Nothobranchius furzeri: one gene and its partner. The protein of the gene in region 1 purifies or fractionates together with the protein of each later gene. This does not show direct contact. Links are inferred from orthologs where the notes say so. Each region holds a gene or a part of one and is shown on either strand. Other genes may lie near its edges.

Region 1 (5,133 bases):
GCAGGAGGGAGACAATTACCAACACAATCCACCAAAACACACTGATCATTGTGGTTTAAGTGGTGCACCAAAATATGTTAAATGACCACTTTTGGATGAGAAACAGAACCCAAGAGTTTTGAGTCAGAACTAAGAATGAAAACGAGAAGACGAGGGTGTCTGGGTGAGCTAATCAACCTGGGCCATCACTATGAAGGAAAAAACCCAAAACTTAGATCGTTAAATAAACCACAATAACTGGAAATCTGTATGTTACATGTCAGCTGTCCCTTTGAGAGTCCTCCAGCTTTCTGTCCTCTCAGCTGGAAAAGTGCACTTAGCTATTGTCACAAGAGCAGATCAGTCTGATTACACGGCTGGACTGAATGGAAGTGGGGCTGTTATATTCCACATCGCCGGAGGGTTTTGTTAACTCTGAAAAGCTCATTCTGACAGAGTAAGACTCTTGTAGTCAAACTTGCTTTACTACTCCCGAGTGTTTTAACATGCGGACTATAAAGGAACATGGTGATTGTCACGTAGAAATAAACATGCTAACGAGCCACATAACAGGGAATAACAACATTCAGCTGAAGGAGAATGTATTCTGATGAGACAAACCTCCAGGGACGGTTGTTGAGGGCGGGCCAGTGGTCGATTATCCCTTCTAAAATCACCGGCTTGAGAGGAACCAAGTACTTTGTATTGAAGCTTTCCAGAGAAGGACACTTAATCCTCTCCACCGCCAACTCTTCTTTGATTGGAGGAACACGTGGGACCACAATCTTCATTCTCTGGTAATGACGACAGAAATAAATGGGGGGGGGGGGGGTCATTTTCAGTCTAATAATAAAAATGACCTAGTTTTAAACTTTTAGGGTCTTTATGAGGGTGTGTTGACTTCCTTTACCAAATATAAAAGTTCAATTTGTTTCAAACGGACACTTGGCGAAACAAAAAGGAAACATATGAACATACAACTGTTATTAATAACATGTTTGTGACATTTTAAAGACCAGATTAAAACAGCCGGTATAGAAAAATGATAAATAGCCATCACAGCCCTGCTTTGTAAAGAATTACTCACAGATTCTTTGGATGCTTCAACAGTTTTAGGTTGACATTTTCAGGGCACAGACTAAAAATGTATAATCAAGTAAAAAAACAAACAAAAAAAAAAAAAACAGAAGCAGCAGCCAACCCCCGTCTAAACAAAGTGATCTGACCTTTGAGAATGTGTGGCACTTCATCTTCAGTGACATCTGATGAGGTGCACCCAGATGAAGGGCAAGAAGGGAGATACTTTTTATAAAAAATAACTTTTCTACAGTCTATTCCACAACATCAGCCTTGAACTTTTGATTATAATGTAAATCAAGAGTTTCACAACAACACCACATAAAACACGTTCCTCTAACTTACTTGAACATTTGCTAATTTAAAGGATAAAATAAATTGGCCAGCTGACCTTGGCTTCAACATAGTCCGTTTCTTCTTTAGTGGTTTTTCTTATTTCACTTTGCAGAATCCGAACAAAAACCTGGAGTATATTATCCATGACGGCCGCGCCCATGAGTAAACCCATGTCACACGTCCTGACAGCCTGAAGGATCTCGTGCTCTGATGGACTTTCTCGACATAAAGCGGCCACTTTAAACAGGCAGCCATAGGAGTAAAGTCGCCTCCAGTCCTTGTCCACATCACGCCATGTTCCGGTGTTGAGTCTCTCCCATGAAATGTCCAAAACGACTTGAGCATAAAGAGTTTGGTTGTTGCTTCTTGTGGTGCTGTACAGTTGGTGTCTGGATCTCGTCAGCATTTCCACCACACTCGACTCCACTTTGTCACTGAACTGCAGAGGGAACTGTTCCTCATTAATCGGTAGAGCAGCTGAGAGTTTTGACCACAAGGATTCCATTGACAACTAGGTCCTCCTGTATTCTGTAGAATGAAGAAACAAGAAGTGCCAAAGCATCGCAAAATGTTAGAATGCAGTGTTAAGCTAAAGTTGTAGCTAAACTGTATGGAAAGTCTAACTTGGATTAAAGCCAACACTTTTCAGAGGTATGGGCTGGAATGTAATCACATGCATGCTTGGCTGCATGCTGGGCTCATCAGTGGCCCAATCTGCAATCCCTACCCACCACCACACACATACACTGGATTCTTGTTTATTTCATTAATGAAAAATCTCTCTCTGCTGCATGAAAACAGAAGTCTGCTCCTAATTTCCAAACTGGCAGACACAGGTGAGGACATCCTGAGCCAGAACTGGTCGTGTGACACATGCACAATGACGGCGCTCTCTGGAAGTGCCAGCCCTGTCTTTGTGTGACTCCATCCATGTTTGGATGCTGCTCTGTGATGCTGGAGGTGCTGCCAAGGCTTGAGGCAGCCAACTTTGTGCACCTGACTCTTTTGAAAATAGAAAATCCCAACCACGTGAACGCAAATGCATGCTAGATTGTTCCAAAATTAAGATTTTTTTTAGTTAATATATCACATGTCTAAAGGGTGGTGCAGCCCTGCAGCAGTTCCCAGAGACAGAAATGCCAATAGATGAAACACTCGAGCCAAACAGAAAAAGAGGAAAACATTAACATAGAGCTGGCATTTAAAAATTACACAAAATATTTCTGAAATTCCTCTGGTAAACAAAAGTTACCTTCATCTTTTAAACAAAATGTTAAACAACTGCAGACATGTAGACACAATTCGCTTTGAGCTCTTTAAAAGGCTTTTGTTGCCAAATCTCCCTGACTTTAAGACAAGTATATTACGTAATCAATTAAAAACTTTTTAATGTGACCAAACTTCTACTCAAAAAACTCAAATCTCCTTAAAGGTAAAACAACTTTTTACAATCAGCTAACGCGTTGTGAACGTTGTAATGCATTTATACTTTTTTTAAACAATGTTGCAAATATAAAAAGCCACTTTAGTTTATTTTGAAGGCGCCGCACCTTAAAATAAACCCCAGCTTAAAATCAGAACAGTTGTTTAGTAAAAAGCAAAGTAAAAACGACTATTTACCTGTTTTGTCTTTATTTACATCGCTAGCCACGCTAACACGGCTGCAGCTAGCGGTGGGACAACAAAAACACACCGGAAGGGAACCGGAGCTGCAGGAAATATCAGTTCCACTTTTTAGTAGGTGTTGTCAAAACTGTGAAATGGCTCCAAAAATAGGGATGATTAATCATAAAATCCAGTTTTATCACAAACCGAAGAGTTTCAATGATCATGGTATGTTAAGTCTTTGATTTTGACACAGAAAAAGCATTAATTCACCGTCTGGTCCAGCAGAGGGTACTGTAAGTGGAAATCCAAGCTGGACTGCTACAAACTGAAATCACACACTTGTTTTTCATGTGTGGGCAGTTTCCTACTATCTATACACTCTCCCACATCACACTCCCACACACTCACATTTGTCCACATCTTAGTCTTGTTGCAGCTCAGAAGTTCGTTCATCTCTCCTCTGAGCTCTCTGTTATTAAACCGGTTGAAGCTGAGCAAAATGAGTTTAACAAAGCCTCATTTAAATACACGTCAAGTCATCTACATCTGTTTCAACAACAGGTGGACCAGATTGTCTGATCCCTGTGCTGCGTTGAGAAAACTCTTGTCATGATAAATGATGGCAGAACTGACATTGTCCGTCCCCCCCCCCTCTCTCTCTCTCTCTCTCTCTCGCTCTCTCTCCTTTCATAGCTCCTGCTGTTCATGATTGTATGTTGTGTAAATACACCTATCCCTAGAGGGCTTACTGATTTGTGTCTGCTCACATGAAGCTAAAACAATAATCTGGTTTGTCTTTTTGATGTCACATTCGGGTTTCTGGGTTTTTCATCTCTCTCTCTCTCTCTCTCTCTCTCTCTCTCTCTCTCTCTCTCTCTCTCTCTCTCTCTCTCTCTCTCTCTCTCTCTCTTCTTTTGCAGGGAGCTGGCCTGAACAAACACGACAGGAAAGGAAAACCTTCAGCAGTGGAAGTGTGGAATCTCTAAACTCTCAGCACTATTATCAAATGTCAAACATTCTGTGAAATTCAAATAATCTCAGTGGAAAGCGCAGAGCTGTTCTTGTATGTAAAGCAGACGGGGCTGAGTGACGTGCTGCCTTTCCTGGAATCACAGGGGATTTTAAGATGTTTCAAGCATCTCTGTTCACTCTGACTGTGTAAACAGCAGAATCCTTGTGGCTCAGTCTATTGTTCACTTACTTCCATGAAGGTGGGAAATGCCTATGTGATGGCGAAAAAAGCTGTGTGATTGATTTTTTTTATGCTTTTGCAACTGCTAATGGAATGGGGAAATGAATCTGGTCATGAATGTAGTAGAAATGCAGATAAACAGCATGTAATATCAGCTAAATGACATCAAATTAAGAGGCAATCTTTGCACACCCTCACAGGACTCCGGCCCCTAAAGACAACATTGGATTCTTGTGCTAGAACTGTTTTTATTGTTTGAGGACACTTGATTGGAATCTAAAATAAGTAAAAACTGTTATTTGGGGGCGGGGGGTGTCAATATTTAAAAGAACTTTTAAACTACCAAATGAATGTGCTGGTCTAACGAGTGAATTTCCCCACTGTGGGATTTATGAAGTCTATTCTGTTTTATTTAAATGTTCCAAAGCAACACGTGCTTTTCCACATTTATGACATCCTACAAATCCAAACTAGCTAGAAGGAAAATGAATGAAATTCATACCAAACACAAGCTGGGGTTCCAGGAGGATTTGTAAGAAATATGTAAGACAGCCTCAGAGCCAGGTCGCTGCCTGTATTTGTAATGTACACTGTGATCCATCAGCCCACAGCAGGTGAGACACGCTGCCTTCATTATATTGTGTGGGAATCTCAGAAAGACAAACCTCACAACATGACGGGACTGTTGTGTTTGTGCATCGGTGGTGGTGTGAGCGACTGAGGTGGTCCCAGCAGGGGAGACTGATGTATTATTCACCAATGTCCAACTCGTGGTTGTAAGACCGTGTGAGGCTATGCTGAAGGTCACAAGTCTGGCAACACTGTTCCTCCACATGCTCTCAGGCACGACTTCATGCTCAGAGGTCAGCGACCTTTCTCCTGTTAATGTAGAAGAAGAGGGCAAGATAACCACTCCTCCTGGGGCCTTGTTAGTTGGTGCC
Region 2 (5,473 bases), on another chromosome or scaffold:
ATTTCCTGGATTTTTTGAGTGCCTTCAGTGACTCGGCTACGTTGGAAATAAAATCCCACTATGCTTTCCGTATATTTGGTAAATGTTGATAAAACACGAGCTGGTCAGTTTTTTCTTAGCTGCACTGATCTTGTCTGATCATTAGCTTTATATTTTCAGACTTTGACAATGATGGGACCCTCAGCTGTGGCGATCTGGAGAAGCTGGTTGACTGCTTGACTTATGAGTCGGAAGACTCGCGTCTAACCACTGAGGAAATGAGACAGCTCATAACTAATGTGAGTTCACTTCGACTGTTTTTTTTCTCTCAAAGATGCAAGAAGCACACTCCAAAGAGATGCTCTGAGGCATCATCTGGGCACAAATGAATCTTGCTTTTGTTTAGATCCTTGAAGAGTCAGACATCGACAAGGATGGGACGGTGAATCTCTCGGAGTTTCAGCATGTCATTTCAAGATCTCCAGACTTTGTCAGGTGGTTTTCCCAAAATAATATCTGACACATAAATCTTGAGGAAATGTTTTCTAATCATCACAATTGTTTTTTTCCCCCCACAGTTCTTTCAAGATTGTGCTGTGAGGCCTTGGAAATGGCCAACTTTTAATTTTGTTTTTAGTGAAAAACTATACTTGCCTTTAAATTTTACTTACTTCTGGATTTTACTCTTATGATTTTATGAATTGTTTGTGAAATTTATATATATATATATATTTTATAACATCTTTAAAATAAAAGTTTAAGGTATTAGATTACTAAAGTTCTTCATTGACACAAATAATTTATTACAAAACATTTTCCACAGCGTAACTTTCTGATGTAATTTAGACTTCCTTGTACGCCGACCAAAGTCCAACGTGGGGGCAGATTCAGGGGATTGTCAGGTATTTTTGAGATCAAGTACTCCCTTCTTGACGGCGGCAGTAAAAGTGTTCCACGGCCCACACACCACATCGACAACATGCAGGTCCTTGGCCTTAAAAAACTCCACACGTCGCGGTTCGTCTAAACTGTTAAATGTCTGGTGTCCAAGTTGGCCGTATTCTCCTGGGGGACAAGAACAGAAAAAGAATAGCTTAATATTTGCTGATAATATATTAAATTTCAATTTGAGTTGATATCCTGTTGTAAGAATAGAACAACTTTATTGTCTGACACCAAGCGGTTACAGAAATTTGTCTTTAAGAGGGCTCATCGTCATCCACCTCATCATTCACACTTTCATAGAACAGTAAATACAATAAAAAATCATAAAAAACTAAAAACACAGATATAAGCTTAAAAGCCATAAAACCAAAGATGCAACTATATGCCTAAAACACATCAAATCATTTGCGGGTTATTGAAGTTCTGTGTCTGTTGAGGGCTGTGATTGTATTTAGATTCAACACTTTAGTGAGATCGAACTTACCCCATCCCCAAGTGAACAGACAGCCTGAGGCTGAAATAGAAAGATATGCTGTATTAATGATGCCCTCATTGAGAAAATGTTTCAGCTTAAATCTATATCTGAGGTACTTGTTACTGCAGCCGTGTGCCGGGAACCACAGCTGGCTCTTTGGAAGTCAGATGATGGATTAACATCCAGCAGCGCAGGAAATGCTTGGATGGAAATAAATACTTCTTCGTGTTTATCTCCATCATGTGGCTCCTCTTCTGGCGTACTGACATCAGACAGTTCTGTATAAAACAAACCAATATATGTATGTGTATGTATATATATATATATATATATCTCAGAATTTTAGATAATTAACCTCAAATTATGATAAATGGCCTGTACTTGTATAGCGTCTTTCAGTCAGAGGACTCTAAAGCGCTTTACAGTGTTTCATTGATACACACGCACACACACACACAGGTTAAGTAAGGTTCTGTTGTTTTAAACTTTTTTTTTTTTTTGCAATCTCAAAAAAAAAAAAAGTCTAGAATCTAACACTTGAATTTTCTAATGCCAAACCTGTTGGTTGAGCCTTTTTCTGCTGTGGAGCTTTTTGTAGCCCTCGTGACGGAAGTCCCAGCTGTCCGCTCTCATTCCAGCCCCACACATAGAGGTCACCTCCTTCTAAGAAGCACAGTTACTATCTATCATTTATTTATTTTTACTCGTGTCTTTGATGTAACCCTTTTATTTAATACCGCTGATGCAGACAGAGTGCCAGCCTCCTGCAGCCACAGAGCTCATAGGCACGCCCCACAGAGCCTCTACTGTCCTCGGCTCCTCCTCGGAGACGAGTCCCCCATGTCCCAGCTGACCATGGCTGTCAAATGAGCACATTAATAAATGCAGAAGAATGGGGCTCCGATTTTCATTATAAGTCAGTGTTGGCATCACCTGCCCAGTCCCCAGCTGTAGACAGCTCCAGGGGCAGTCAGAAGGATGACATGATCTCCCCCCAGAGCCAGGCTCTTGGCTTGCAGGTGAGGAGCCAAGGAGCGGAAGATGGGAGGCTTGGAAGCTATGTAACCACCAGGTACCAATGGCAAATTCACACCTGTATGAAAATGACAGAAAACATGTAACAGCATATTTGTGGTGATTTTCTGATGTTCAGTACACTCAAATATCCAAATACCAGAGCTCTCTGACTGGGGGATGATCTCCATGCTCCATAGTGGAGTTTTATCTTTCCTCTGCACATCCCAGGATTCAATTCGGTCTGGGAAGGCAAGAGTGAGGTGGGATTCACTGATGATTGCATCTCTGCAGCCCCTGGTATCGTTGGAGATGCTGGATGCAGAAAAACCGGCCAGCCACACACATCTGCTCTCTAAAGAATAAGAAAACACTAGTTTGTATCCGCATAAAGACCATATTCCTGTCAAATAGGTAGAAACCTACCGTGCAGACATGCTCTTCGACTCCAGCTCGCCCTGATCTGACATGTCTTCAGGCAGCAGCTGTGGTCCACGTGACTCCGTAGCTCTACAGGGACGCTAACTTTGACTTCTCCGACCGCGTCGCTGGTTTCCTCTTGAACAGATTTCTCCTGGACGCATATTTGTCCAAAAGCATTGAAGCCGAAACCAAACCAGCTCATTTAATTCGTTCTTAAATCCTAAGAAAGTCTCCTGAGCGACGAAACGCAGGAATCAAAACACACAAAGAGCGGAAGAACCCGGAAGTAGCGCGCATGCGCAAATGGTAAGTTATTCTTTAGGGGGATGTTCAAAGCAGAAATCCATGATTTCAGTTTTTCCTCCATGTGTAATTGATATTCCACTGATGTGTTAACAGCATCTTGTTGGTTTACACAACCATACCTGGATGCAACAGACATGAGACAGGACGGTTAATTCCAATAGAAATATTTATTTTCAATCTGTGCACACTAATGAAAGACACACAAATCACACATTTAAATCTCTTAGAATGTAGTGAAGTAGTAATAACTGAAATAATGTATTATAAAAATGACAAGCACAAATATTCTAACTAGTGATGGCGATGCAAAATATGACATCCGGCTGGTTGTGAAATAAAATGATTAGCCAGCATGTTTGTGTAAAAATGTTTAAACCATCTAGGAATGTCCTCTTTATTAAAGAAACTCAGTTTGGAATAGAATGATTGGTCGACGAGAAAAAAAAAGTGCAAGGGCTGGTCTATATCCTTACAACCAGCTCCAAAAACACAATCAGTGAAAAATTCTACATTTGACAATATTTGTGTAATGGTTTTACAGTTATATATTAATTTTGTTATTGCTTCACTGCTTTTTGATTTTAAAAAGTTAGGAAACACATTTTTTGGTATAAATGAAATGACTCCCATTTTCAAATGAAATCTAAAAGCACTTAAGACAGCAGAGAGGCACACCCACAACTGCAGCCCTTCATTTGCCCTTTTCCTTCTCCTCCCTACTTTGGATGATGCCGTACTCAATAGCTTTATCCAGACAGTCCAGAGCGATCTTGGAGACAGGATCCACTGTCCCCTCATTTGCGATGACGGAAAGAATCTCCATAACTTCGCTCTCCATGAGGGTCTCAGCCAGGCTTTTCTCTGCCTGCATCATGTTCTGAACAATGACCACTCCACGATGCCGTAGGTCAGGAACTTCACTGAGCAGCAAAGCCTGCAGAATCTCTAGCCAATGGGTTGTCTGAGAAGAAAAAAAACAAACAAACAAAAAAAAAAAAACAAATGTAAAGAACAGATTATTTAGTTTTTGTGTAAATTAAACGTCTAGTTTTTCTTACAGTTTCAGGGATGCGGGTGCAGAGCTCAGGCTGTTCAGCAGTCAGCATGGCCAGAGTTCCTGCAGCAGCTTTCCGAAGCCTTTCACTCTCTTCGCCACTGTAAAGCACCAGCAGCTTCAGCCGATCATTCCCTGTGGCTAAGTACAGCTTCTGCACCTGAAAACACAGATTTAGGCTCACACCGTTCTCAGACTGAGTCATGGATTTTATCATTTAACACGAGTGTTACCTCTGAACTCAGAACTAGATTACACATGCACTCTGTAGAAGACGCTCTGATCAGGTCGTGTTCCTCAAACATGTAGCCTTCAATTTTCGGAACAGCTTTTTCTTTTATGATCTTCTGTCTGAGACAAAATAAAGAAATTAAAGTGGTGGGTTTTGTTTTTGTAAATTTTAACGTCATGAGGGACGAGTAGAAAATATTAAATAAAATTAGAAACATTTCTCTGTGTTTAGGTGTGCTTTTATGAAGTGACTGCCCCCTAGTGGCCAACCTGAGTCTTTCACTAATGCCAGCCAGGTTGGTGAGGGCCATCAGTGCTTCGAAGTTCTGCAGCATGGTGCACTCCAGTCTCAAAAGGTTCACAAGTGGGCGCACGACCTCATAGATCTACAAAAAAAGCAGATTAAATAAGAAAAATGTGTTTACTTGGCGTAGTCCGAGGTACTGTCAGCATTCCTACCCTCTCTCCAGGAAAGGCAATCTCTGGGTTAGACGTGATGGCTATTTTTGCGAGGGCTTGTGCTGCTTTGACTTTTCCTACATCTGTGTTGTCAGTTGCAAGAGGAATCAAAGCCTGTTTAGGACAGCAGAAACATAAATCACCTTCTGAAGGGAAAATTCAGGATCCGTTCTAAAAATTGATCACGCTGTTCTACCTTTCCTCCACCCTGAGCCACTACAGTGCCTCTGTCTTCCTGCCGCTCCACCAAAGCCAAGAACACTCTGCCACGACAAAGTGTGTTGAGATATGTACAAAAAGAATAGTCGGAGAAAAGACGTCTGCTTTTCACTTCCTACCTGGAGATACATTCCTTACAGGCTTCGGTGAGGGCCGGACTCTCCTGTTTGACCATGCACACCAAGGCAGACACGACACCAGCTTCCAGGAGCTTAACCACCCTTTTCTCCACAAAAGAATGTGCATCCTGACATGAGAAGGCAGCAAAATTAAAGCAAAGAGACACAAAGTGTCAAGACAAATCAATAAACACTGGCATAAAACTTTTGCAGCACCTTGGGATGCTCCTCAGGGACGTGTTGTTTTGC

Evidence for each region.
Region 2: the proteins of kdm8 (region 1) and RCC1 domain-containing protein 1 purify together in Homo sapiens (co-immunoprecipitation; 3 studies listed by BioGRID and IntAct, counting the BioPlex papers as one, with this or other methods). This does not show direct contact. The link is inferred for Nothobranchius furzeri from reciprocal best matches to the Homo sapiens genes KDM8 and RCCD1.

The regions. Positions count from the first base shown.
Region 1 is NC_091745.1:4,850,726-4,855,858, reverse strand, and holds the start of kdm8 (lysine-specific demethylase 8), read right to left. Parts: upstream 3,144-5,133; 5' UTR 3,013-3,143; intron 1,921-3,012; 5' UTR 1,898-1,920; coding exon 1,448-1,897; intron 1,242-1,447; coding exon 1,206-1,241; intron 774-1,205; coding exon 601-773; intron 1-600. UniProt on the Homo sapiens protein: Bifunctional enzyme that acts both as an endopeptidase and 2-oxoglutarate-dependent monooxygenase.
Region 2 is NC_091744.1:74,256,376-74,261,848, forward strand, and holds RCC1 domain-containing protein 1, read right to left. Parts: upstream 3,126-5,473; 5' UTR 3,039-3,125; coding exon 2,840-3,038; intron 2,769-2,839; coding exon 2,574-2,768; intron 2,493-2,573; coding exon 2,333-2,492; intron 2,259-2,332; coding exon 2,137-2,258; intron 2,063-2,136; coding exon 1,958-2,062; intron 1,678-1,957; coding exon 1,516-1,677; intron 1,439-1,515; coding exon 1,409-1,438; intron 1,045-1,408; coding exon 878-1,044; 3' UTR 693-877; downstream 1-692. Other genes in the region: calcium and integrin-binding protein 1, read left to right, coding at 1-78, 160-278, 386-474, 558-579; unc45a (protein unc-45 homolog A), read right to left, coding at 3,834-4,103, 4,201-4,356, 4,430-4,547, 4,698-4,813, 4,887-5,000, 5,083-5,149, 5,225-5,352, 5,441-5,473. UniProt on the Homo sapiens protein: Plays a role in transcriptional repression of satellite repeats, possibly by regulating H3K36 methylation levels in centromeric regions together with KDM8.